Linked DNA regions of Kluyveromyces lactis. The protein of the gene in region 1 purifies or fractionates together with the protein of each later gene. This does not show direct contact. Links are inferred from orthologs where the notes say so. Each region holds a gene or a part of one and is shown in the gene's direction. Other genes may lie near its edges.

The links.
Region 2: the proteins of RTT102 (region 1) and SNF5 purify together in Saccharomyces cerevisiae (affinity purification with mass spectrometry; 3 studies listed by BioGRID). This does not show direct contact. The link is inferred for Kluyveromyces lactis from reciprocal best matches to the Saccharomyces cerevisiae genes RTT102 and SNF5.
Region 3: the proteins of RTT102 (region 1) and SNF2 purify together in Saccharomyces cerevisiae (affinity purification with mass spectrometry; 6 studies listed by BioGRID, with this or other methods). This does not show direct contact. The link is inferred for Kluyveromyces lactis from reciprocal best matches to the Saccharomyces cerevisiae genes RTT102 and SNF2.
Region 4: the proteins of RTT102 (region 1) and KLLA0_D06831g purify together in Saccharomyces cerevisiae (affinity purification with mass spectrometry; 5 studies listed by BioGRID). This does not show direct contact. The link is inferred for Kluyveromyces lactis from reciprocal best matches to the Saccharomyces cerevisiae genes RTT102 and TAF14.
Region 5: the proteins of RTT102 (region 1) and RSC9 purify together in Saccharomyces cerevisiae (affinity purification with mass spectrometry, with the first as the bait; 3 studies listed by BioGRID). This does not show direct contact. The link is inferred for Kluyveromyces lactis from reciprocal best matches to the Saccharomyces cerevisiae genes RTT102 and RSC9.
Region 6: the proteins of RTT102 (region 1) and SWI1 purify together in Saccharomyces cerevisiae (affinity purification with mass spectrometry; 4 studies listed by BioGRID). This does not show direct contact. The link is inferred for Kluyveromyces lactis from reciprocal best matches to the Saccharomyces cerevisiae genes RTT102 and SWI1.
Region 7: the proteins of RTT102 (region 1) and SWP82 purify together in Saccharomyces cerevisiae (affinity purification with mass spectrometry; 3 studies listed by BioGRID). This does not show direct contact. The link is inferred for Kluyveromyces lactis from reciprocal best matches to the Saccharomyces cerevisiae genes RTT102 and SWP82.

What each region holds. Positions count from the first base shown.
Region 1 is NC_006037.1:881,489-883,771, forward strand, and holds RTT102 (Rtt102p), read left to right. Parts: upstream 1-1,321; coding exon 1,322-1,783; downstream 1,784-2,283. Other genes in the region: TAF1 (histone acetyltransferase), read right to left, coding at 1-765; RNH70 (Rnh70p), read right to left, coding at 1,979-2,283. UniProt on the Saccharomyces cerevisiae protein: Probable component of the chromatin structure-remodeling complex (RSC) which is involved in transcription regulation and nucleosome positioning. RSC is responsible for the transfer of a histone octamer from a nucleosome core particle to naked DNA.
Region 2 is NC_006041.1:1,665,925-1,670,123, reverse strand, and holds SNF5 (Snf5p), read left to right. Parts: upstream 1-1,399; coding exon 1,400-3,802; downstream 3,803-4,199. Other genes in the region: APM3 (Apm3p), read right to left, coding at 1-1,021. UniProt on the Saccharomyces cerevisiae protein: Involved in transcriptional activation. Component of the SWI/SNF complex, an ATP-dependent chromatin-remodeling complex, which is required for the positive and negative regulation of gene expression of a large number of genes.
Region 3 is NC_006038.1:740,786-745,004, forward strand, and holds the start of SNF2 (SWI/SNF catalytic subunit SNF2), read left to right. Parts: upstream 1-1,419; coding exon 1,420-4,219. UniProt on the Saccharomyces cerevisiae protein: Involved in transcriptional activation. Catalytic component of the SWI/SNF complex, an ATP-dependent chromatin-remodeling complex, which is required for the positive and negative regulation of gene expression of a large number of genes.
Region 4 is NC_006040.1:588,334-591,032, reverse strand, and holds KLLA0_D06831g (uncharacterized protein), read left to right. Parts: upstream 1-1,320; coding exon 1,321-1,329; intron 1,330-1,437; coding exon 1,438-2,199; downstream 2,200-2,699. Other genes in the region: AIM41 (Aim41p), read left to right, coding at 255-812. UniProt on the Saccharomyces cerevisiae protein: Functions as a component of the DNA-binding general transcription factor complex TFIID, the RNA polymerase II associated general transcription factor complex TFIIF, and the chromatin-remodeling complex SWI/SNF.
Region 5 is NC_006040.1:880,842-884,343, forward strand, and holds RSC9 (Rsc9p), read left to right. Parts: upstream 1-1,307; coding exon 1,308-3,002; downstream 3,003-3,502. Other genes in the region: double-strand break repair enhancer MSC1, read right to left, coding at 1-65; RPM2 (ribonuclease P), read right to left, coding at 3,336-3,502.
Region 6 is NC_006040.1:1,041,728-1,045,654, reverse strand, and holds the start of SWI1 (Swi1p), read left to right. Parts: upstream 1-1,127; coding exon 1,128-3,927. Other genes in the region: snoRNP complex protein NOP56, read right to left, coding at 1-578. UniProt on the Saccharomyces cerevisiae protein: Involved in transcriptional activation. Component of the SWI/SNF complex, an ATP-dependent chromatin remodeling complex, which is required for the positive and negative regulation of gene expression of a large number of genes.
Region 7 is NC_006040.1:503,410-506,890, reverse strand, and holds SWP82 (Swp82p), read left to right. Parts: upstream 1-1,448; coding exon 1,449-2,981; downstream 2,982-3,481. Other genes in the region: KLLA0_D05907g (putative short-chain dehydrogenase/reductase), read left to right, coding at 184-1,065; KLLA0_D05863g (uncharacterized protein), read right to left, coding at 3,072-3,481. UniProt on the Saccharomyces cerevisiae protein: Involved in transcriptional activation. Component of the SWI/SNF complex, an ATP-dependent chromatin remodeling complex, which is required for the positive and negative regulation of gene expression of a large number of genes.

The sequences.
Region 1 (2,283 bases):
TTGAACTTCAGAGAACTCGCTTATAGCACTTTGCCAAGGCTTTACGCTTTTACTCCTCATCTTGAACAATTTTTTTGTATCCTTTTGAACTTGAAACTTCACTTTAATGGGTATGAGAGGTTTTAAAATTCTGTTTCGAAGGTATAACTCCCTTTGCCATTGATACTTCGCCAACGGTTTTGGAGCTATCTTGGTCATTCTTAGGACTCTACCCGGCTTTAGCTCAGGGAAATAAGACTGAAATAATAACTGTTCTTCCTTCGCATTTTGTTCCTCTTGTTTCCTTCGCTGTTCCTCCATTAACCTCCTGTGTTGCTCATCATATTCGTTAAATTGGTGTTGTTCTGGACCAAATGACTGATATGTGCTCTCCATGAACAATGCATTATTACCTTGTACTTCAAATCCAGCAGCGTCAACTTCATGCATCACATCACCATGGTCCATCAGAGTCATATATTCGTCGTCTTCAGTCAGACTCCGCTGAAACGACCCTTCATTATGCCTGTTCGGAGAATGGGATGGCTCTTCTTCCTCCGGTAATTCTTCATCTGCCAATTCATCTTCATCTTCAAAATCAATAGCATTCGGCAGATGCTCTGTTTCATCTTGCTTACCATTGCCGCCACCACTAGTATAATTACTAATATCTAATGCCCCAAACTCACCACCAAATAGAGCGTTATACGCATCATCTTCATTGCTGAAATCCTTCTTTGCCTTGCCTTGTTTCTTGCTTCCTGAGCTTCCAGCAACCCTAGGCATTTCGCAAAAATGGGTGTATTATGACTGGAATCAGATTAGAATTCTGTTATTGACAGAAATATTGGCTCACAGAGTTGAATGAACCTATTTAACCACCCTTTTTATGACTTCGAGCACTCTTTACTGAAATGTACATATCAGCTCTTCAACTTTGTTTAGATTTTGATATTGAGGGATCAATCCAGAGACCGGGTAACGTAATTTCAGTGCAATCCATGTAACATAAACCACTATCATGGCCCAGATTGGCCACTTCACTCGAATTAACAAGGTTATATGCAATGTGTAGCATGCACTCATCTCATTTACTGGCTTTTCGTTTCAATAAGTGGTTCGCTGACCTATTAATCGACCATTTTATCCCATTTAAGGTCAATTTTTGTTGATAATTCTGCCAACATGAAATTAAAGCCAAACATCAAGAGCTTAAAGCTTAACAGTGCGAGCAGAGATCTAAAGGTACAATGCGACAATCTTTTAGGTGTTAGATCGACTAACTCGGCCAATTATTTCAGCAAATTTACACACTGAGCCATATACTTAACAGAAAGTGAGAATGTCTTTGATAAGTAGGGCAAATCGTCTTGGAGGTTTCACGACCGATGCAAAGCATTGGGAATACGAATGGTCCACTACTGCTAAACAAAATGAAAATGGTACTGATGAGAAGGTAAAATATAAGTTCAAGCAATGGGTAAAAAAAGATCATCCTTTGAGAGATGTAGTTGAGGATGATACAGATGTTCTTAACTTAGATGAATTTGATAGGACGAAGATAGCTAAGAAAAATGCTCGTGTCCAGGAGAAAAGTGGCCCAGATTCACTCTCAATTAACGATATAAGAGGAGCTGTTGGTGGTTCTGACATTCCTGGGTTCTCAGGATCGGATGCTAAGAAAGAAGCCGAGAGTGAAGCTGCTGTTGAAACTCCTGTGGTTGAAACTCCAGCGGAAGAAACTCCGGCTGAAGATACACCGGCAGAGGTAAAAGACCAAGAAGGCGACGTAAAGATGGAATGATTCATTATATAACGATTACACCTATATACTGTAATTTTACTACGATTCATGGAATCCAGAATGTGGCCTGGACGCCCACTCTCGAATAAGATAAAGACAGTCCTTCATCCAAAGGAGGGCAAGCAGGAAAAACCATCACCGCTTTTGTTCTCCACATAGGACGTATGTGTGCGTTTGAGACATTACTATATAAAACTATTGGCTTTCATTATTCACGTTGTTGGTTTTGATAGTCATAAATGAGATGGCATCGCGAGCGGTTTTAATCGAAGCCTGTATTTCTGCTTCACGTTTGGATTTTTCCACTGCACGGTCTTCCTTATCAAGTTTGTTCAACTCACTCATTATTTTGATCCATTCTCTTGTATCACCAGTACCTGAACAGATTAGTAGCATAGCTGATGAAGGTAGATTTTCATAGATCTTTGTAATTCTTTTCCCCATGTTTTCCAATGCTAGCTCCTCAGTTAGAACTTCAGTGTCACGGTTATTGCATGCGG
Region 2 (4,199 bases), on another chromosome or scaffold:
TACCTAAACTGCTTTGTAAATTTACGTCTATAATGCCGAGGTTTGAGTCTCTTTTCACCAACGGTAGGGTATATTGACAGAGCCTAGTACGTCCATCAGGAGGTACAAACGTTAGCTTAGTGAATTTCCCAGCGATTAAATCATTTATGCTGTTCGCCTTATCCTCTAAGATGCATCTATGGAAAGTCGTGTTTAAGTGGCTAAGCTTGTGGTCTAAGAGCCCAAGTTTCATCTCAACCAATGGCTGTCCGCTGAGATGGTTGTTTAAGTCGATACAACCCTTGATATGTCCGGTTAACAGTTTCCCCTTTTCCACAATAGCGTTAATTTCCTCACTCATATCGATGAATATTTCGTTATTAGCATAGTTGATGCCGCTCATTCTCCATGGGACACCAGATTCATCAACGGAATGATCAACTAACGAGGAGCCAGGAGACCCAACGTGGAACGAGGAAACGGATGAAGCGGATGAAGATGGATATCTACTGCCACTAAACCTTGATTTTTCCGGACCATTCTTAAACATTGACCCGTCCGGTTGTTGTAAGGTCTTGGTAATTGTATTGGTTGTCGTCTTCAACAATTTCGATAAATCGTTTCTACTTGGGACCATTGCCTTTAAACGGTTCGAGTCTGTTATCACCGGTTGCCCAGCATCAAGGATACAATGGAAAAGCATCGATAATCGATCGAGGTTATTATTTATCTTCTGCTTCGTTAATTGGTCCTTATCGAAATATTGTAACAACAGTAAATCTATCTCTTCTAACAAAGATACCACGGAAACTGTGGACTCTGAACACGAAATTAAACACCAATAAACAACTGGATTCAGCAAAGAAACGTGTCTGCAAAGCTTCAACTCAGAATTTATCTCATTGCAGTATTTAGACTCCCATGATTCGTCTTTACCTTGTAGTTTAACAACTAGTTGCCGAAAAGTAGGGCACTCTGCTACTGTTGAGTACTGGAATAGCGTTTCCTGGCACCTATCATTGACATATATGCTAACAATCATTGTAGCCAATTGCTTAAGTTCACTATGATAACCAACTATATGCGGATAACCCGCTGTATCCTGTTTGCTTGCCTTAATTTTTCATTAGGTTGTTCCATCTCGTACTTCTCTTAATCGTTAATCAAAATTTCGTGAATTTCATGAATTCAAAGAACGAAAGAACAAGACCAACAACAAACTTTAAAGATCAACAAGAAATTCTTGTTTTTAAGGGAACTGAACACCTTTCAGGTAGGCTTCAGAAAGGGTATATTTGACAGCATTTGGTTGAGAATTATCGCAAGAAAGAATATACTAGTTTCCTTCTGTGTTTCCCTTTCTGTCTGCAATTGAAAACACTAGTTGCAGTTTTGTTTCTCTATATAAGCTGAAAGGAGAATGTCAAACCCACCAATGAATCCTGGCAATGCGAACCCTTTGAGTAACATAGGGACGCCTTCCTTTTCGCTTTCGCAGGTTCCACAACATATCCTACAATCCTTGACGCCAGCGCAGTTGCAGATGATTCAGCAGAAACATCAACAGTTGTTATTGCAGAGACAAAGACAAGCACAGCAGATGCAGCAAGAACAGGTTTCTTCTCCCGGTAATATGAACCAATTGGATGCTGCTCAGCGTGCGCAGCTAATGAAGCTCAAACAACAACAAATGCAGAGATCTCAGACGCAGCAGCAACAGGAGCAACGAGCTCAGCAGGTGCAACAAGCCCAGCAATTGCAACAACAGCAGGTTCAACAGCAACAGCAGCAGTCTCCTCCCCAATCTCAACAACGAACTTCTTTGAATCTTCCTCCACAAATTGCACAACTATCACCGGCATTGCAAATGCAATGGCTTCAGTCCATCAAACAACAGGCTATTGCGAGAAATAACCAGAACGCTCTTCTGATGATCACTCAGCTTGAAGTCAAATTACAGCAACAACATAGACAGCAACAGCAACAGCAACAACAGCCTGTACCACCACAACAACCTGTTCAGCAGCAACAACATCAATCCCCGCCACGCAACATTATTCCTCCTAACCAACCGCAGCTTCAACAGCCTCAACCTCAGAAACCTCGTATACCACTTCAGCAACAAATGGGGAATCCACAACAAATGATTGGAGGTCAACCTATAACTCAGAATATACCAGTTATGAACAGTAATCAATCGATGGTTCCTTCGTCACAACAGCCACAATCACAACCACCACAACCACCACAACGACAACCACCACAACGACAACAACAACAACAAGTCCCAGTTTCAGTACCACAGCCACCTCAACCATCACAAGCTGCAATACTACAGCAAGTGCTTCAGAAGTTTCAGAAACAACTTCCTGATATTCCCAAATTCCAAACTATTCTTCAAGACCCACCTGAGACTCCATTACCTCATACTAGGTTATGGTCAGAGAAAGAAAGAGCTGATAACGAGCCTGTGAGTTTTGATACAAGATTATATGAACATGTTATTGAACGGGATTTGTTGGATAAGGACAACTTGTTGGCGGACACTAATGGATTGGAACCTATTTCCAAATTCGGATTCAGTCAGAGGGAGGTAATATTGAGATTACAGCAAGATCTTGATTATTACAAAGAATTGAGGAACAGTCGAATGCAATCCATTACCAACACAACTCAAGGACATAAATCTAAGAGTATATGGGGTGACGGTTATTCTGGATATGGAAATGGCTTCAGTAACGATCTCACAAGGATTCAAGTCGATGACACTTATGAAATGCACTTGGACGAAATATATGAATGGACAATGAATCAAACAGGGGAGGAACTAGTACCTGTTAGATTAGAGTTTGATGCAGAAAAGGATAAATTTACTTTGAGGGACACATTCGTATGGAACAGATCAGACACGCTACTGTCAATCAACGAATTTGTGAAAACAACGCTGAAGGATTATAGGCTCAAAGTCACCACGGAGATGTATCAACAGATTGTGAATAGTATCAAAGAACAACTTCAAGAATATACTCCAAATCCTTTTGAAAATGTGCAGAGGTTCGGGGGCGATGATTTCAGAATAAAAATCAACCTAGATATTGTCGTTGGACAACATCAATTGATAGATACCGTTGAATGGGATGTGTCAAATCCAGATAATTGTCCAGAATCGTTCGCGGAGTGTTTATGCGAAGAACTATCCCTTCCGGGTGAATTCTTAACAGCAATTGCACATTGCATTAGAGAACAAGTTCACATGTATCACAAGTCATTATATATGGTTGGTTACAAATTTGACGGTAGCCCCGTTGAAGAAGACGATATCAGAACAAGATTCTTGCCTGTACTCACCTTAGCAGACGTAATGAGACCACAAAAGGATACGTTTTTATACACACCTAACTTATTACAGATATCTCCCGCAGAACTAGAACGTTTGGTTAAGGATAAGGACAGAGACACTAGAAGGAAACGTAGACAAGTTCGTTTCAATAGAAGAGGCAATACAGAAAATCACCCATCGTCCGGAAGTACACCGCAACTACCCCATGATGCAGAACTTCCTGATCTTGGGGATATCCCAAAAACGTGCCGTCAACTACTTCCAACAACAACTTTGCCTGGAGGTATTGATGTTGGTCCAAGTACGTTATCGTTCCAGCCATCAACTAGAGTCGAATATTTAGACAGAGCTAAAGCAACTCCAAAACAAGAATTCCAACAGGAAGTAAGAAACTCATCAGCATGCAGAGTTATTATGCACGACGTTGGGAAATCTTTACTCGTCACTATAAAGCTACCAAAGGCGAAGACAACCATTCAATGAGTAATTCGCTATATATATATATATGTACATATGTATTTATGTGGTACCACCTGTAACAATTTTAAGAAATACTATGATAAATAAGCTAGAAGAAAGAGCACTGAAGATAGCTATGAGAGACCGAACGCCGATGATCGCGGGCTTACTCGAGGGTCTTGACACGCACCTCTACGTATATCGATATTTATGTGTGCCTGTTTCATTCTTTATGGTGTAAGCCTCTAAATTTCATAAACAGCTCAAAACCAAAAAATATATTTAGTAATGGAAACGTTAACATTTGAACGAACCAACCCTTTTAAGAAACTTGGTATGCAGAGGCCACAAACTCATCAAAGCAGCCATATTTGAGTGTTACTCGAGGGTAGTAGAGTTTACTGAGATTATCTACGCGGCG
Region 3 (4,219 bases), on another chromosome or scaffold:
GGGTTAACTAAGTCCTGTTTTAGAACCGTTCCTGGTGGTCGCAAAAGAAAAAAAAAAAAAAAAAAAAGAGAGAGAGAAAGAGAAGCACAACTTAATTTCACCTCGACATCTTATGATATGGTAATTAGGAAAAAAAAGTACTACTGTCGGATTGATAGAGAATAGAACAGAATTGATTACTTAACTAACCAGTTTTGATCCCGTCTAATTCCGCAATCAAATACGGTCATGTATCTTGTCAACGTAAAAAAAAAAAATTGGAATTAGCTTTTGCCAAATGAGTGGGGCAAATAACCTCGTACACATACATAGAACATGAGATTAACACAGAGAAAGGCAGCTTTTCTTTTCAAAGACCATTCTCTAATTTCCAATTTCCCCTTCCTTCTCTTCCATTTCCTATCTGGTACAGCTACATAACATATAACGTAACATAGCAAAAACCCCCCTACCGATGTGTTCAGTTCCGAGAGAGACGGAGAATGAGTATTTAATCTACTCTACTAGTCACACTACTGCCTGCACTAGTGAACGATCAGAAATCAAAAGCCTAGTTGCACAGGGCAACAAATGATGTAGAAATAGAACAGAGAAGTGATAGAATCGGTGGAAAGAAAGAATAAGCAGAAATAAAAAAAAGAGGTATCCACACGTTACTTCCTATGCATCTAAGGCCCGGCACAGAATCAGCATAGCAGCAAGTCATACTTAGTCTTACCTCAGTCTCTAATTCACTCTCTGTGCCTTTCTTGTTTCACTTAATTTCTCACAAGACGAATGGGATGGGGGGGGGGGGGGTCTGTCACTATATCCATTCAATCCATATCAGATTCCACTGTACACTTGCATGTACTGCGCACATCCCTAAAATGTATATCCATATCTATGTATCTTATATACACACATGCAGCACGTCATCTTGTATATTCCGCAGCTATTGTCCAGTTCCATCCCGACATACTCTTAACGCCTCAAACGTATGTCTTAAACTTGCCTTAAAGTGTGCTTTAAACCCATGTTTTAAGCCCCAGTGCCAGTCAAAATTCACACAGAAAGCATGATTACAAAAGCGAATAATTTACACAAAAAAAAAATTTTTTTTTGTGTTACGCTGTAAAACATAAACAAAATAACTTTAGTAAACGGAAACGGAGAAGGGAAATAAACACAGAAAACAACAGAACCGTTGTGCATACAGGCTTTGCGTGTGTTTAAGGTAACTTCCTTCGGTTGGTATTTTACTTTTCGGATAGTCTGCAGTGCCATATCGTCGGCGGCTAAGCAGTACTTTTTCTGTTTTTTGTTTATCCTTTAGCTTCGGCTTGAATTAAGAATTGCTTTGCTCTCTTTGCTAGTGACAAGCGTTTTTATTACTGGTAATAGTATTAGTATTAGTGTTGCGATAGGCCTGTTTTGGCAATGGATTTAGAGTTCAGTCCTCCCAGGAGGGAATATACGCGTGAAGAGATTAATCGTTGCTACCTGCGGTGGCAGCAGCTTCGTAACGAACATGGTGCGAATGTCGAGTCTATGAAGGAGTACCAGTACTATACGGCTGTGTTGAGGATGGCTGCCAGACAACAGCAGCAGCGACAACAACAACAACAACAACAACAGCAGCAGCAGCAATTGCAGAATGCAACAACAGCAGCAGCAGCTAGTTCGGCTTCGCCGAATAACATACCGACTCCGTCTGCTTATACCCCTGGCAGTAATGGTATGGGCCCTGTAGCAGCAACAGCGGTACCACCACCACATATGTCACCACAGGTAGGACCTCAGCCGATCGCGCCGGCTTCTGGTCTAACAGTAGGAGTGAATACGCCAGCTAGCACCAATTCTAATTCTAATTCTAATTCTAATAATAATAATAATAATAATAACGCGTCATCATCACGGTCTTTGTTCACAGATGAACAGTCGCTCTTGTTGAAGGCACAGATCCAATCTCTTAAGATGATGGCTAACCACATGGTCGTACCACCAGAGATTATGATGGTCATTGATCGGTCTTTGACCAATTTACTGGATTTCAAATCCATTCTACTGGCGTTGAGTGCCGATTTACAAGCTCATAATGCTGGCCAGCAGATGCAACCTCCAGTACAACAACAACAACAACAACAACAACAACAGAATAATGTACCGCAGCAGAAGCTTTCGCCTCAGGTACGCCAAGGCGTGAAGAAACCAGTACAGAAGGTTCGTCAACCCAAAAAGGGTAAGGTGGAATCACCAGTAGCAGCAGCTTCGCAACCACTTGTACAAAATAACATGCCTGCTCAACTGGTAAATACCACGGCAAATATAAACCCAGCTTCTCCTATAGTGACGTCAGAACCCACTCCTATGGCAGTTCAGTCCCCAATGGTGGAACCTTCGCGCCCTATTTCTCCTCCTATTCCGGACCAGGACCCCCCAAAACAAGAACCTCCCGCTCTTTTATCCACATACAAGAAGCAACATGAAGATATAGAAAAGTACATCGACGTAGCTTCACCGCATATTATGGTGGATTGTTTCTCGTACCCAGAACAAGGCGGCATTCCAGGCTCCACACCGTTGGTACCACCAATTAGTTATACGGATCTTCTTAACCAACAAAATCTTTCTATCACCCCCAGTCTGTTACCCGTTGGTCTGGATCCAAGGTCTGCTATGGAAACTTACCAAACTCTCATCGCTTTGGATTTAGATACATCACTGGATTTTTGTTTGCAACAACTATTAGAATCAGATTCTCAAGTAAAGGATAAAGGGGAATTGATTATGGACTATAATGCAATGCAGTTACTTCCTTTACAAAAAGCTATTAGAGGTTATGTATTGTCATTTGAATGGTATCAAAGCACACTTCTCACTAATATTCATCCTAACTTTTTATCCAAAAATCGTGGTTTAAACATTCAAGATGCTTTGTTGACTAGAGAATTGTTTAAATCACGAGAATTACAACAGTACGAAAAACAACAACTTGAAAAATCTTCTAAATTGAATTCAATCTTGGACCGTTGTAAATCGATACATGATTTGAGAATAGATAAAAAAGCTCAGCGTGTTAAGTTAGGTCACAGGTTGATAAACTTACACACGAACTTGGAAAAAGAAGAATTGAAAAGAATTGAAAGAAATGCCAAACAACGTTTGCAAGCATTGAAAGCTAACGATGAAGAAGCATATATTAAGTTGTTGGATCAGACAAAGGACACAAGAATTACGCATTTGTTGAAACAGACTAACACTTTCTTGGATTCTTTAACCAAAGCTGTTAAGGATCAACAGTCTTTCACTAAAGATAAGATCGAATCTCACCTTGACACTCAGGAACTTAGCGAAGACAACGTGGGTGATAAAAACGGAGCAGACTCTGATGATGACTTGGAACGTGAGAGAATCGATTATTATGAAGTTGCTCATAGTATCAAGGAAGAAGTGAAACAACAACCATCCATCCTTGTAGGTGGTACTTTGAAAGAATATCAATTGAAAGGTCTACAGTGGATGGTGTCTCTTTTCAATAACCACTTGAACGGTATCTTAGCAGACGAAATGGGTCTAGGTAAAACTATTCAAACAATTTCTCTTTTAACCTACTTGTACGAAGCTAAGGGGGTCCATGGTCCATTTTTAGTTATTGTTCCGTTATCCACTTTGACCAACTGGAATGCAGAGTTTGATAAATGGGCACCTAAGTTGCGGAAGATAGCTTTCAAGGGTCCTCCAATGGAACGTAAACCTAAACAAGCGTTAATCAAAAATCGTGAATTTGATGTAGTGTTAACAACCTTCGAATATATTATCAAAGAGCGTCCATTACTTTCTAAGATAAAATGGGTTCACACAATTATTGATGAGGGTCACAGAATGAAGAACGCTCAATCTAAGCTTTCTTTAACTTTGAACACATATTATCATTCTGATTATCGTTTGATTTTGACTGGTACCCCTTTACAGAATAATTTGCCAGAACTATGGGCCCTTTTAAACTTCGTTTTGCCAAAAATTTTCAATTCTGTGAAATCTTTCGATGAATGGTTCAATACACCGTTTGCAAACACTGGTGGTCAAGACAAGATAGCATTGAGCGAAGAAGAAACTTTATTGGTCATTAGAAGATTACATAAGGTACTCAGACCTTTCTTGCTTCGTCGTTTAAAGAAAGATGTTGAAAAAGATCTTCCTGATAAAGTAGAAAAGGTTTTGAAATGTAAGATGAGTG
Region 4 (2,699 bases), on another chromosome or scaffold:
GTCAAATATCATAAGCCGTCTGGAACAAACTTAAAGAAAAGCGCGACTTGCACTGAATATTTTTTTTTACTTAACCGATCAACGGTAATAAAATTGCATCTTGATGATAATTTCTATGAAAATTCAAGTAACCCAAAAGACACCGGCACCTATGAACAAATACAAAGAAACGTTACATTTAATAGACCTTCTATAATCTTGATCGTTTGGTTCAATCTTCAAGACAAGCATCCAAATCATTAGCGAATACAAAGATGTTAAGATGTGTTATCCCAAGCGTTCGCGCTACTGCAACGACCAGAACCTTTGTTAGATTTGCCAGTTCTCAAGGCTACATTGATGGGATCGCTGCATTAAAACAAGACTTGAAGAAGGCAATGCTTGCAAAAGACAACCTAAGAAAGACAACCATTAGAGGTGTACTATCTACAATTAAGAACAAGGAAATTGACAGTAAGGATAAGGATCTAGATGAATTTGTATTGTATGATGTGTACGCCAAGTTAATCTCGCAAAGGAAGGACTCCATCGCTGAATTTGTTAAAAATAAGAGAGAAGATTTGGTAGAGAAAGAAGCCAATGAGATAAAGATCCTCGAGAATTATCAGACTGCCTTGCCTGTTGCTTCTAGGGAGGAAGTAGACGCTCGTGTTGTGCAGATTTTAACAGATCTAAAAGAATCAGAGCCATCTATACAATTGAAGCAGGTCTTCGGAAAAATTGACTGGAAAACACTACCAGGCGAATTGAAGGCATCTCCAGCTGCTATCAGGTCCAGTATTAGCTCTCAATTTAAGAAAGTGTTCCAATAAATCACCTAGCTAAAACCAAACTTGTACAGAGTCATTCATTAAAAAAAAAACTCCGATGAATGACGCCCTTGTGATTAAGTAGGCACATCAATCCCGTAAATAAATGTACTTACAATTATGCAATATCAAGCCGCAGCAATGGATTTGACTCACGTGAACAATTCTCTATCTAAAGACTTCTGATAAAGCCATGTTGTTCGCTAGGATGCTTTGCCAGATCACGTGATAAAACATAGTAACCAATACTCTCTGGTAACTACTAAGTGGGGAGAATATGGACATGATAGTCTTTTGCTCTCTCCACAATAGCATAATCGTAACTCTTGCATGCATCTTCAACTGCCTTCCTCCACCTTATTGTAGTACTTCCTCTAAATTTCACCAAACATTGAAAACATGAATTGACTAAATTTCAAATTCAGAGATAAATAATGGCAATTACAAGTACGAAAATATCCAGAAGAGAAACATTAGACGTGCTTATAACCCCCAATCAAATCAACCAACGATGGTGTCGGTATGTAATGATTAAAAAAGACTGAAAAGCTTCTTCAGTTCGTTTTTAGAAGGTTTCTTTTCACAATGAGTTTACTAACAGACCTTTTATTCAATATTTCGGAAACAGACTGTGAAGAGAACGGTCAGAATTAAGACCAAGCAATCTGTCCTACCGGATGTACCACCTCCAGTAGAAAACTTTCCTATGCGTCAATGGACCATTGAATTAGTTCTTTTGGATGAACAAGGAAACGAAATTCCAGCCACGATATTTGATAAGGTAGTGTATCATTTGCATCCAACTTTTGCAAACCCTCATAGAACATTCACGGAACCTCCTTTTAGAATTGAAGAACAAGGCTGGGGTGGCTTTGAATTGTTGATAAGTGCGCATCTTCTTGAGAAAGGGGGCGAGAAGAAGATAACTCACGACCTACATTTCATGAAAGATGCCTATGAAATTGATCATGTAATCCAAGTTCCTACCAATAAGCCTCTTCTAAGAGCAGAACTAGAGAAAAGTGGACCTGTCGATGAAGTAGCATCAACAGCAGCAGCAACTCCAAATGCAACAGCGACAGCTGCCACCACTCCAGGTGACAAGAGAAAAGCATCTACTGTCAATGGTGATGTAAAAACGAAAAAAGCCAAGACCGCCTCCGCTTCAACAGTGAAAGGCTCTGTGAACTTGGAAAAGTTAGCATTTGGCTTAACAAAACTAAACGAGGATACATTGGTTGGAGTAGTACAAATGATAACTGATAACAAAACTCCAGAAATGAATATTACGAACAATATCGAAGAAGGTGAGTTCGTTATTGATTTATATAGCTTGCCTGAAAGTCTATTGAAGAGTTTATGGGAATACGTCAAGAAAAACACCGAGTAACCGGACCTCTCACATGTTTATCTAATTTAACCATTACAATTATGTAGTTGTATTTTATAACTTACATCTCCACTAACAGGCACTGCTTGCAGAAAAAGTACCAAATGAACACTATAATGAATAGACAAATCAAGCCTAGGGAAAATTGCACTGAAATATTTGATTGAATTCGCCCTTGGACTTGACTTTAATTATTGTCGACCTCCTACCGATGAGCTTATCTCTGAAAAAAATAATAGTTTGAATCAAATTCTACATGATAGCATATCACAATACTCCATTATGTTTTACTATTGTTGTAGCACAACGGTCCGCAAGCCGTCGATAGAAAACTGTATTGGCATCAAGTCAACACTTAACATAATGGAAAAAGATTTTGTAATGGTATGTTTTAATCTAATATTGCCATAACGTTTGTCACTAGCAGCATTGTCACTAACAAGTGGTTGTTTACAAACATATCAGCCTTACGTTCCTCGAACAATAAGAGTCAAAACTCA
Region 5 (3,502 bases), on another chromosome or scaffold:
AGATTGTTGCAAATAACTACTTGGCAAGCAGCTGCACAAAATATCAAAGCACTACTAAGCTTCATCCTGCGTATTAATATTGTTATTCTGTGTAATAAGCTATGTCAATAAATCTTATTAATAACAGACACTTTAAATGATATCCTATACAAATATACCTAAGCCTAAAAATGCCAGTTGTTAAGCAAGAGAAAGTGTTCCACGTTTGTTGATATATATATATATATATATATATATATAGAATGGGAATTGCCAGAACAAACTTCTAGTTGACAGTGACAATGCATCACACTAAGTTGTAAAAATCGATGGCCACACTTAGTTCCAAATAATAGCTCTACACACTTATAATAAGGGGTAGGGTGACATGGATATACTCACGCATGGTCTAGCCAAGCTCACAATAGCGTCAGTTATGATGTTCGCTAACCCGTTACCTTTTTCCCTTATTTTTTGGATTCTAAAGACGTCTTTTTGCTAATGTTAAAGAAATGACTTTTGCGGTTTGCTAATGGCAGCAAGAAACGATGCAAAAGGACGACTGTGTCTTAAAATTGCAGATGGCAATGCCACCATTTGTATTGTGCCTTAAGGTAAAAATTCTTCCGGACGCCGTGATGTGTGGAATTTGCTTTGATGTATGTATGAGTAAGTAATCAGATCAGATCACTGAGAGTGATAACTCTGGGGGAGTTAGGGTCTAGGAAACTAATTAGGTAATTAGAATGTGTTTGAATCAGGGCAGAAATGGAAAAGAAGGAAGAGAATCAATGGGTCGTTTGAGTCGATTTGATGTTGAGATTACACTGAATCATCGGTTGATGATCCGTTCCTTAGCGTGGAATTACCACTTTTCGGTCACATGATCAACGTCAATTGCCAGGGAGGTGAATTTAAACTCGTTGTTCCCATAACCATTTGAAAAGGACTTAGGCTGTCACAGAGGGGATAGTCAGTGTTCATAAAGAGGATAAACCTAACTGTCAGAACTATGATTAGAATCACTAAGCAACAGCATATAGTCTTTAATCTGTCCTTGTTACTATGTACGGAGAGCATTTATGTAATCATTTACCCGGATATAAGCCGTATTATTGAACTCGAAATTCAACAACATGCAAAACAACGAAAGATTCGAGATGGACTTCTTAATATGTACAATGACAGAAAAGGAAAACGCGACTAATTAGATGGAGCTTACTTTCTTTGTACCTATATCGGCGATCTAGATACCTTAAACACACCTTCTTTCGGAGACTCGCTTTTTTCTAGTTTTGTGTGATACCTAGTGCTTCACAAATCAATAGATGTCCAGCCATTCAGTCACTCCGGTGATCAATGCTGAAGGAGAAACAGCGATTCCAAGCTTGAAGACATTGCCCGCAACACAATTAAATATTAGCAGAGACCAGACCAATGGTATTACCGCTAAGCCTGTTGCTGGGTTGCAACAATCATTAGGCAGTTTGCCTATCTTCAATCATTTGCCTGTAAACTCTAAGATTGGTGTTGATGATCTCACCCGTATGAAGATGGCATTGTTAAGTGGAATAGACGAAGAAGTTAAATTTGCATTGAAAAGATATTTACGGTATAGCATTAACGCTTCTTATGTTATCAAATTGAATGAGAATTTGGATTTGTTGCCCATTATTATGCCCTTGATTACAGCATGCAGAGAATACATTCCACAGCTTGTTGGCCCAATTTCCAATCAGGCTTTTGAAGCCCTACAAAAAGGTTCAATTACAATGCTTCTTTTGAGAAATTTGGCACAGGACTCGGAAAACACTTCGATATTAGCCACCGATATGGAATTGAAATCGTTCATATTGTTCGTGTTGGAGTGGGCAAATACGTTCAATTCGAAGGATTCGGCAATCTATCAGTCACATACATCCAGTTTCAACGAATTGTTAATCTATACTCTTGATTTAATGGAGGCGATTTCATCTTATATTGCACCAGCAAAAAAAGACGATCTATATTTCCAAAACCTCTGTTTGATATTTCGTGATACAAAGGATAGATACTGCGTGATCTCAATTTTGAGATCATTATCTAGACTCTTGGTGAGATCTAAATCGGACCAAAAGAGTGCAGCAGATAATTTGGATGATAGTTTGTTGAACAAGATTGTTCATAACCTTTTAATTGATAGGGATGAAGAGTTAATAATTGCTTCATTAGATTTCCTTTATCAATATATATTACCTGGTCATCAGAGAATAAAGACATTACTATCACATAAGGAAAGATATGATATCCTAGTTAGTACTCTCCCTGTTCTCCTCACGTATCATGTATCAACCCCTGATTATCATGCCCTTTCGAATACTAATATCAAACTTATACAGAGGGTAAAACCTCAACCACCAGCACACGCGCCTGAATTGCCAATGCCACTGCTCAAGGAATTATTTGAGCTAAACGAACCAATGCGTGCCACTTCCTGGTTGAGATGCTGCTTTGAGAGATCTCTGAATGGCGAAGTAACACAGATTCTTCTATGGAAAACTTATGAACAAACATTCAGCGAACAAGTAAAACTAACAGATCGAAAATTGATAACTGCCGTTGATTTCATTAAAAATGTTTCGAATGCTTTGCCCGGTGCATCCGCTTTGGTAGTTGTAGATGAAGCAACGTCGAAGAAAAAATTTGTAATAAGAGGTATACAGCCTCGCAGAAAAGCTCTTTCAATCGTAGAGGCAAATAAAGATATTGACCAGTCCTCGCCTATACAGACTGAAACCCCGGATGAATTTGAAAGCAACAATACTCCATCGGAAGCAGTTCAAATTTGTTTGCCAGATATTGTTTTCCCCGAGAATCTTTCTGATGTATCTAAAGCAAGTGCGTCATTCCTTTCACTTGTTTCTAACGATAGTACCGAGATCGTGGCACAATTTATTCATGATATGAAACCTTTGATATTACATCAAATTGCTGACGTGCCACCTTTAAATACTGTTCTTTTGGACTTCATACATTCAGGTTGAACTTACCGTTAGGCCGATAGAGTAATTAAAGTTGTAGTTTTGTAATAATTAAATGTATAACGTATCGATTAAAGGTAAAAATTAAACAACGGGAGACCTAACTAATGTATAAAATTGAATTAAAAATGGTGAAACAAAATAAAAAATAGATGATAGCAATTCTGACAATATCAGAATTTTGTATCGAATGGATCAGCGTAAACCCATTTTTGTCATAATAATCGTAAAACTCATCAAATAATAAATAAATAAAACTTTCTTCATGAGACAGATTGTTCATGGAAAGTATGATAGAAGTATAGTAAGAATAAGGTAACATCAGCAGAAAGTTGTTTAGTGCATGGAAGAATCTATAATATCTTTGAAACTCTCCACTTTAGAATGATGATCAGATAAGCCTTCAGATTTGTAAATGGCAGAAATGGAATCTAAAAGTACCATTAGCGAGGTCTTGCTAACGTTAAAAGAACCATTATCATTGAAGTTTATAACCTTTACAG
Region 6 (3,927 bases), on another chromosome or scaffold:
CTCATGGCAAAAGTGTTGATATCCTTATCCAATTGATCCAAGAGAGCAATGGCTTGAATGATATGGTTATCGTTTTTCTGAACAGAGAACTTAACCTTAGCACGAGAGTAAGCATGACCCAAACCAAGTTGAGCTCTTTCCAAATCACCAGGTTGTAAATCTTTCAATAATTTGTCACCGTGTAATCTAACACCACGAATCAAATCCTGAGCTAACTCATTAGAAATACAATCAACAAATGGAAAAACTTCTTTAATGGATGGACCTAAGTTCTTATCAGAAATAGCCAAAGTAACAGTCTTCTTAGAAGAACCCTTTGGTAAATTTAAATCCAACAAAGCTTTCAAATGTTCAGAGACTAAACCTTCAGAAATATCATTAGCATTTTCCAAAGCTTGAGCAGCACCTTTGAAAGGAGCAAAAGAAACCAACTCAACTAACTTAGTGAAAGAGCCGAAATCATTGATCTGTTGCTGGACTTCCTTCAAACGAGATCCGATATCATCCTGTTGCAATTTCACTTTGAAGATACCATACCCGGTAGGTTCTTCGAACAAAAGATATTCAATAGGAGCCATTATTTAATTCTCTGATCAATAAAGTTTCCTCGCTACCGTAAAATCTCTTTGATCTGGACTCTTCAACACACACTAACTTCGGAATGAATGAACAAAACTCAAGATAATACAGACAAGTATTAATTGAAATATCGCTGTGCACATAACACAATATACAATATATTCACTGGTCAGAAAGCTCATCTCTCTTTATTGGCTTCGAAATGAAAATTTTCCAAACAAAAAAAAAAGAGCGATGAGCTTGAAAAAGAAAAGCAGAATGGGAAATATATTTTACTTACCCGGCCGCGGCCGGGTAAGTTATACACGTGATCGAATGTATTACCCGGATATAGAATAATTGACAAAATCACGTGACCTGGAATTTTCTTGTCTTTCCAAAAACAAAACAACGAAAGGAAACTCGAAATTGTATTCAATGAATTCAATTGACACTTGACTATCACTACTTTCAGAATGAATATAATTCCCTTGTTTTAGGTTTTATTTAGGCGTGATTTCTCTCCCCTGATATCAAGGGTCAAACGGTAACTTTATTGGTACATACGGATGGACGATCAGTTTTTGTTCCCGGACGAGAGTGATCCAATGAATTCTGGCGATGGCCAGCTTTTCGGTCAAGGAGGTTCGAACGGTGATGAGTACCTTTCCTTCCTTGATAACTCAGGCGCACCCAACCAGCAAGGTATACCTGATAGTAATTTAGGGCCGATGGAAGATGTTAACGCAGGCGTAACGCCCCAGGCTATATTGGCTAGAAATTCATTCTCAACTGTCAATTCACCTCCGTCGATGAAGAACGGTGGAGTCTCTATCTCTCCACAATCCATGTTTTCTCCAGCCGCAGGACCAATTCCTATGAATACAGCCAATGTAGCACCGACGCAGTCTCCCGCCGGCACTACTTCTTTACAGCAGATGTTATCGCAGCGTGGAACGCCGCAAAATGTGCCAAGTGGATCCCCTACAATGGCCGATGAGTCTTTAGCTCAGGCGAGTGCTAGTAGACAGAGCCCTCAGTATATGGATAGAGCCGCAATAATTGCTGCGCATCAACAGAGGCAACAGCAACAGCAACAAAAGCTACAGATGTTGCAACAACAGCAGGCATTCAACCAATTACAGCAGCAGAAACTAAGACAACAGCAGCAACAAGCACAGGCTCAAGCGCAGGCACAGGCTCAAGCACAAGCTCAAGCTCAAGCCCAAGCACAAGCACAAGCACAGGCTCAAGCTCAAGCCCAAGCTCAAGCGCACATACAAGCACAAGCGCAAGCACAGGCGAGAATGCAACAACATGCGCCTCAAGTACAGAATCAGTCTAATAACCAAAGAAACGTTCTACAAAATCTAGATCCAGCCATTCAACGGAAAGTCGGTCAGGAATTAAACACCAAACAGTTTGAACTATTTAGAAAATCATTTTTGGAACATTGCAGGAGAAAGAATCAACCCGCAGATATTGCTCAAATGATTAATGGTACCCAGGTCAGTTTCTTCATCTTATACATGTATGTTCAGAAGCTTAACGGAGGAGAAAACGTCACTAAAGCACAACAATGGCACATATTGGCGAAAAAGATGAATATACAAGGACCAAATGCTGGAGAAGAATTGGCAAAGACGTACTACAGATATTTACTACCGTACGAAAAGTACTTGATGACCCCAGAAGGTATTAAAGAAACTCAAACCAATCGTATCATGTTACAGCAATTACTTCAGGACATTATAAGAAACATTAGAACGAATACACCGCAGTTCCAACCGCAGGTGCAAAATCAGTCTTTTATGCAGGGTCAAAACGTAATACAACCGGATTTACAAATGAAGCAACAACAGATTCCTAAGGCTCAAGGCAAAACAAAGAACACCGTCCCAAAACAAGCAAAACCTAAACAGCCTAAGAAGCCAAGAGTGAAGAAGAAGACTAAGAAAGAACTAGAACAGGAAAGAAAACAAATGGAAGAGCTGCAAAAGCGTCAACAACAAGAAGCGGAGCAACAACAGCAGCAGCAAAAGCTCATATTCGAACAACAATTGAAGAAACAACAGGAAATTATTTTGAAACGTCGTGAAGAGCAAATTAAGAAGCTTCCGAAGGTGTATAAGAGAACGATGGCCAGGCATTATAGTCCCACCACAAGAGCCATCACCACGCAAAATGGGTATGATATTTCAAAGATTTCAGCTCTTGGTGAGATGATACATAATTTTAAACCCATCTTCCTCTTTGCGCCGGAGTTTGGTGTCGTCAATATCAATGCAATTGCAATGCAGTTACAAAGTTCTAATAACCCGGAAGTCAATACCGCACTAAACTCATTATTAGTTATTAGCTCCGATAACACTTTATCAATTCCACTCGATAAATGTCGTGAGCTTTTGGATAACCTCTGTATCTTGGCGTGTCAGTTACTGCATAAACTATTGAAGAAGGATTATTCAAGGATATCAGGGTCTTATACTGAATATGATGAACAGCAGTGGATTAATACGCCTCCCAAACATTCGGATTCCTCTGATACTCATATTGATAAAATTTTCAAGGAAAGCGTCAAAAAATCTGGAGAAGATCAATCTGAATATACAGTAAAGGTAGACTCTTTAACTGGTATAGATTTTTCTCAACTTCCGATCACACCGACGGAACCAGAAATAGAAGTCGATGCGACATTACCTGAAGTCTCACTGGAGAAGGACGAAGATGAGAATGATATTGAATACTTACCTGATTTGTTGAAAGACGAAAATCTCGATGAAATCAAAAAGCTACATTTCATTTCATATATGGATTCTCTAACTAAAGTCAAAACGGAAGTCGGATCCATCTTTAGCAAGTGTCACCGTTCTGGAGCAGAGGATCCGCACTTGTTGATTGTTGACCAATTGACAACAATTTCAATGATCTTGAGAAATCTTTCATTTAACGAACAGAATTCACAGGTAATGGCTAATAATTACCACATGGAAAAATATATTGCAGATACTCTTTGGATGGTTTTCATTCATAGAGATGAGTTTATTTTTGAGCGCAGGGTTTTAAACTTCAAGAAGGATTTGATTTTTATTCTATCTAATATTACACATATGTTGAAAATTGAATCAACAGTAACTTGTTTGTTAATCATAATGCTAGCGTTGAGCTTCGCTGATCCGAAAGATCATATTCAAGAGAATAGCGTCTTGACATATGCAGAGTACACCATGAATGTTGAAAAATGTCAGACATACGGTGCGGACGTCTTGGCTAAACTTCTTTCTCTTGGTTACCCAAATAGAGCACATTTTAAGTCAGTATTAACTGGTGTTTTCACTGAAGAAAATGACGATGATGACATATGCCAGC
Region 7 (3,481 bases), on another chromosome or scaffold:
ACATATTGTCGATAAAAGATCACCGCCGTAACTAATAAGTCGAAGAAATCATATATAGATACTATTTAAGGTAGCTTAGTGCAACGTTGATTGCAGATATGCAGCTTGCACAGTAATATTACCAAGAGTCAAGGGGGAACTATCTATTGTAATTGCATCGGACTAATCTTACATCAAACAACCATGAAGACCAATCCTGATATTGTATATACGAAGGCTCAAAAATTGATTGAACTCAATTTAGATAATAAATATGTTGCTATCGTAGGAGGAACGGGCGGTATTGGCCGTGAGTTGGCAAGAGTGTTGGCACAAAAGGGTGCTAAAGTCATCGTTGTTGGTAGAACGTTCAGAGACGAAAATGTTGAAGGTATTGAATTTATCCAGGCTGACCTAGGTTTGGTGTCAGAGGCATCCAGAGTTGCGGAATTGTTACCTGCTGAAAAGTTGGATCTTCTTATCTTCACTACGGGAGTTTTGGCTCCTCCAGCGAGACGTGAGACTAGCGAAGGTCTAGAAGAAGATTTGGCCGTCAGTTATATCAGCCGACTAGTGATGATGAATCATTTGGTACCCAGATTGAAGGAACATGGTGAGAAAAAACCTCGCGTATTTGTAATGGGTTTCCCCGGTGATAACTATATGGGAGATTATAGAGATTTGAATTCAGAAGAATCTTACGGAGCTATTTCCACACATATGAAAACAGTAGCCGGTAATGAAGCTCTAGTTTTGGACTTTAAGAATAGGTTTGCTACTGTCAATTTTTATGGGTTGAATCCGGGGCTCATCAGGACAAATATTAGAGATAATTACCTTGGTAAAGACACTTGGAAGTCAAGAGTGGTAGAATGGTTCATAGGTATGACAAATCAGACTGCAGAGCAATACGCTGAAAAGTTAGGCCCCTTGCTAGTTGCCCCAGAATTGGAAACTCATTCAGGCGCCATGTTTGACAAGAATGCTAACCCGATCCTTCCATCAAAAGATTTTACTGATGATTACGCCAGGAATTATATCAAGGCCTCAGAAGAACTTCTTGCAAATCTTAAGTTGGCTCAATGAATGACACTACCAACATCTGAAGCCACCGGCACTATTATCTAAGAATCCCGTTTTATTCCTATATTTTAGATACGTTAGTTTGTATGTAACCTAACTGTCGGGTATTTGCTGTGTCAGTTGCTGGTCATCACGTGATCAGTATCTTTATGTATTTTCCATTGTTTTGAAATTGGGTCTTTTCAACATGTAATCTAACTATCGAATGCCTGTCATTAACATAAACGTAAACATATGCATATCTTTCAAAGTACATCGTGAAAGAATTCAATAGACGGTATAAGCTGCGACACTTTCATCCATCCTAATTATATTTGGAACACCACGAGACCTTTCTGGCTGTTGAACAGGATACGTTTATTTGTTTATCTTCACATGCTGGAAAAATGGACTCCAGTACTAACTCATCTGTCACTGCTCAGGTGAATCCGGTGCCAGAATATGTCATAAAGAACCATGAGCTTTTTATTTTGAAAACCACATTATCAATACTCAATAACCCTGAATTACTCTCCGGCAGACTTGACAAGCCACCAACAAAGCAACTTGTACTACCTTCGTTCACCATTAAGGAAAGGTTATCAGACAACAATGACTCTTATGTTTTGGGAAAGGGTGATCAAAATGGGGAAACGAAGGTTGATAAACAAGGACGGTTACATGGAGAAAGGCATTACTTGTTTCCTACTTTCACTTATCCATGTGCGGAAAACAATAATTCGGAAAATTTGTACGTCTTAGTACGGGATTTGATTAGAGTCTTGAATCTAGATGTGGAACAACAAGAGTTTTTGGCTCAGCATCCAGACCTTTACCCAATTAATGCAAAACATGATATTATCGAATTTTTGACCCAGTATAAACTTTTACCTGAAGGTGCTACTGCTGCAACATATATCACAGCTAGATCTGCTTTTCTTGTCTTTGGAGCTGCTATACTAGCATCCGGATCAAGAGTGATAGATGATTACTGGGAACAACTATCCAAAGAACAGGGCTTCCAAGCGCAGCACAGAGTATACGCACTCTCTCAAAAACTTCTCGACATGGTATGTTCGATCGATCCAAGGACTAGAACAGCACATTCTTTAGGTCCACCTGAGCTTCCTGAATCGAAGCAAGCACAAGCGGGCGTTATGTCCACATCACAACCGCAATTCGAAGACCCGTTTTCAACCATTACGGAACTACCGCCTTTAGAAGCACGTAAAGAGTTCTTAAGTAATATTGCTCATGGTGAGCAAACTGCAATCATATCGGGTCAAACTATACATGGAGCAATCGAGTTGAGTACTATTTACAAAATTCCAAAATACCACTATAAGAATTCCTTCGCCGCTGCTCAACAACACAATGTTCTAGATTCCCCGATTGGAACGCACACCCACCCGGTAGAATCTCATAACTTTGGTAGAGGACGTAAAGCTAACTATGTTCCCCCGGAGGAGACAGATGTGTTGGCTCAAATTCCTGGATGGAAATTTACGCAGCTACCAGTTACAACAAATGATGAGTTACCTACAACTTTCAGTGCTGGAGGGTTACCGATATATAATAAGGCGAGACTTCCTGCAAGGTTAAAACTATTGACGCCAAACCAAATAAAAGATTTAGAACGATCCCATGATGTTGTTCATTTGAATACAGCTCTTGGCCATGTCCGAAAGTTAAGAAACACCCGTTGGACTAAATTTTGGCAGTATAAGGCCGGTGCACCTGTTGGCCTTACGGAGGATCAACTTTCGTATTACAAAGAGCAATATCTACAGCAAGTTTTGAACCATGTTGATGTGAGCATTGTGCCAAACGAAACGAAGAATGTAGATGAAAAGCGTACCGTTAAGCGAGTACCGAATCCAAATTTTTTGGGATACTCCAATGTGTCAGGGTTTAGGCCACCTTATGTTGAAAAACCTTAGAATAATAATGCAACTTCATCTATATCGAACTAAATACTGCTAGTAGAAAGCTATGCAATAAAGCTGCAGATATATATAGAGGATAATTCATTATAACAATTTAACTTTAACAATGTCTTGACGAATTTTGAAAGTGTAGTATGCCATAACTAAAACGATTAGTATTAGAGGCAAAATCCACATTAAGAGTCTCTTGACGATTTCGTCAACTGAAACGCCATTTCCAGCATTTTCCATGCTTTGTTTGGTGGCCTCTCTAATCTTTGCTTGATCCTGAAGTAATTGCTCCAACTTATCATTCATAACAAAGAGGTCCTTGAAGGATTCTGTATTTACTTCACCTTCTTTACCCATTGAAGCCACAATAACTTCTAAAGTAGTTGATAGATATTCTAGCTTTCTCAAGTGCGCTGCTTGATTTTCCAAGATGCCAATTAATTTACCGTTTATCACGCTGATGTCATTGGCTAATATCTTGCCCTCAATCTTATCCAATTTCT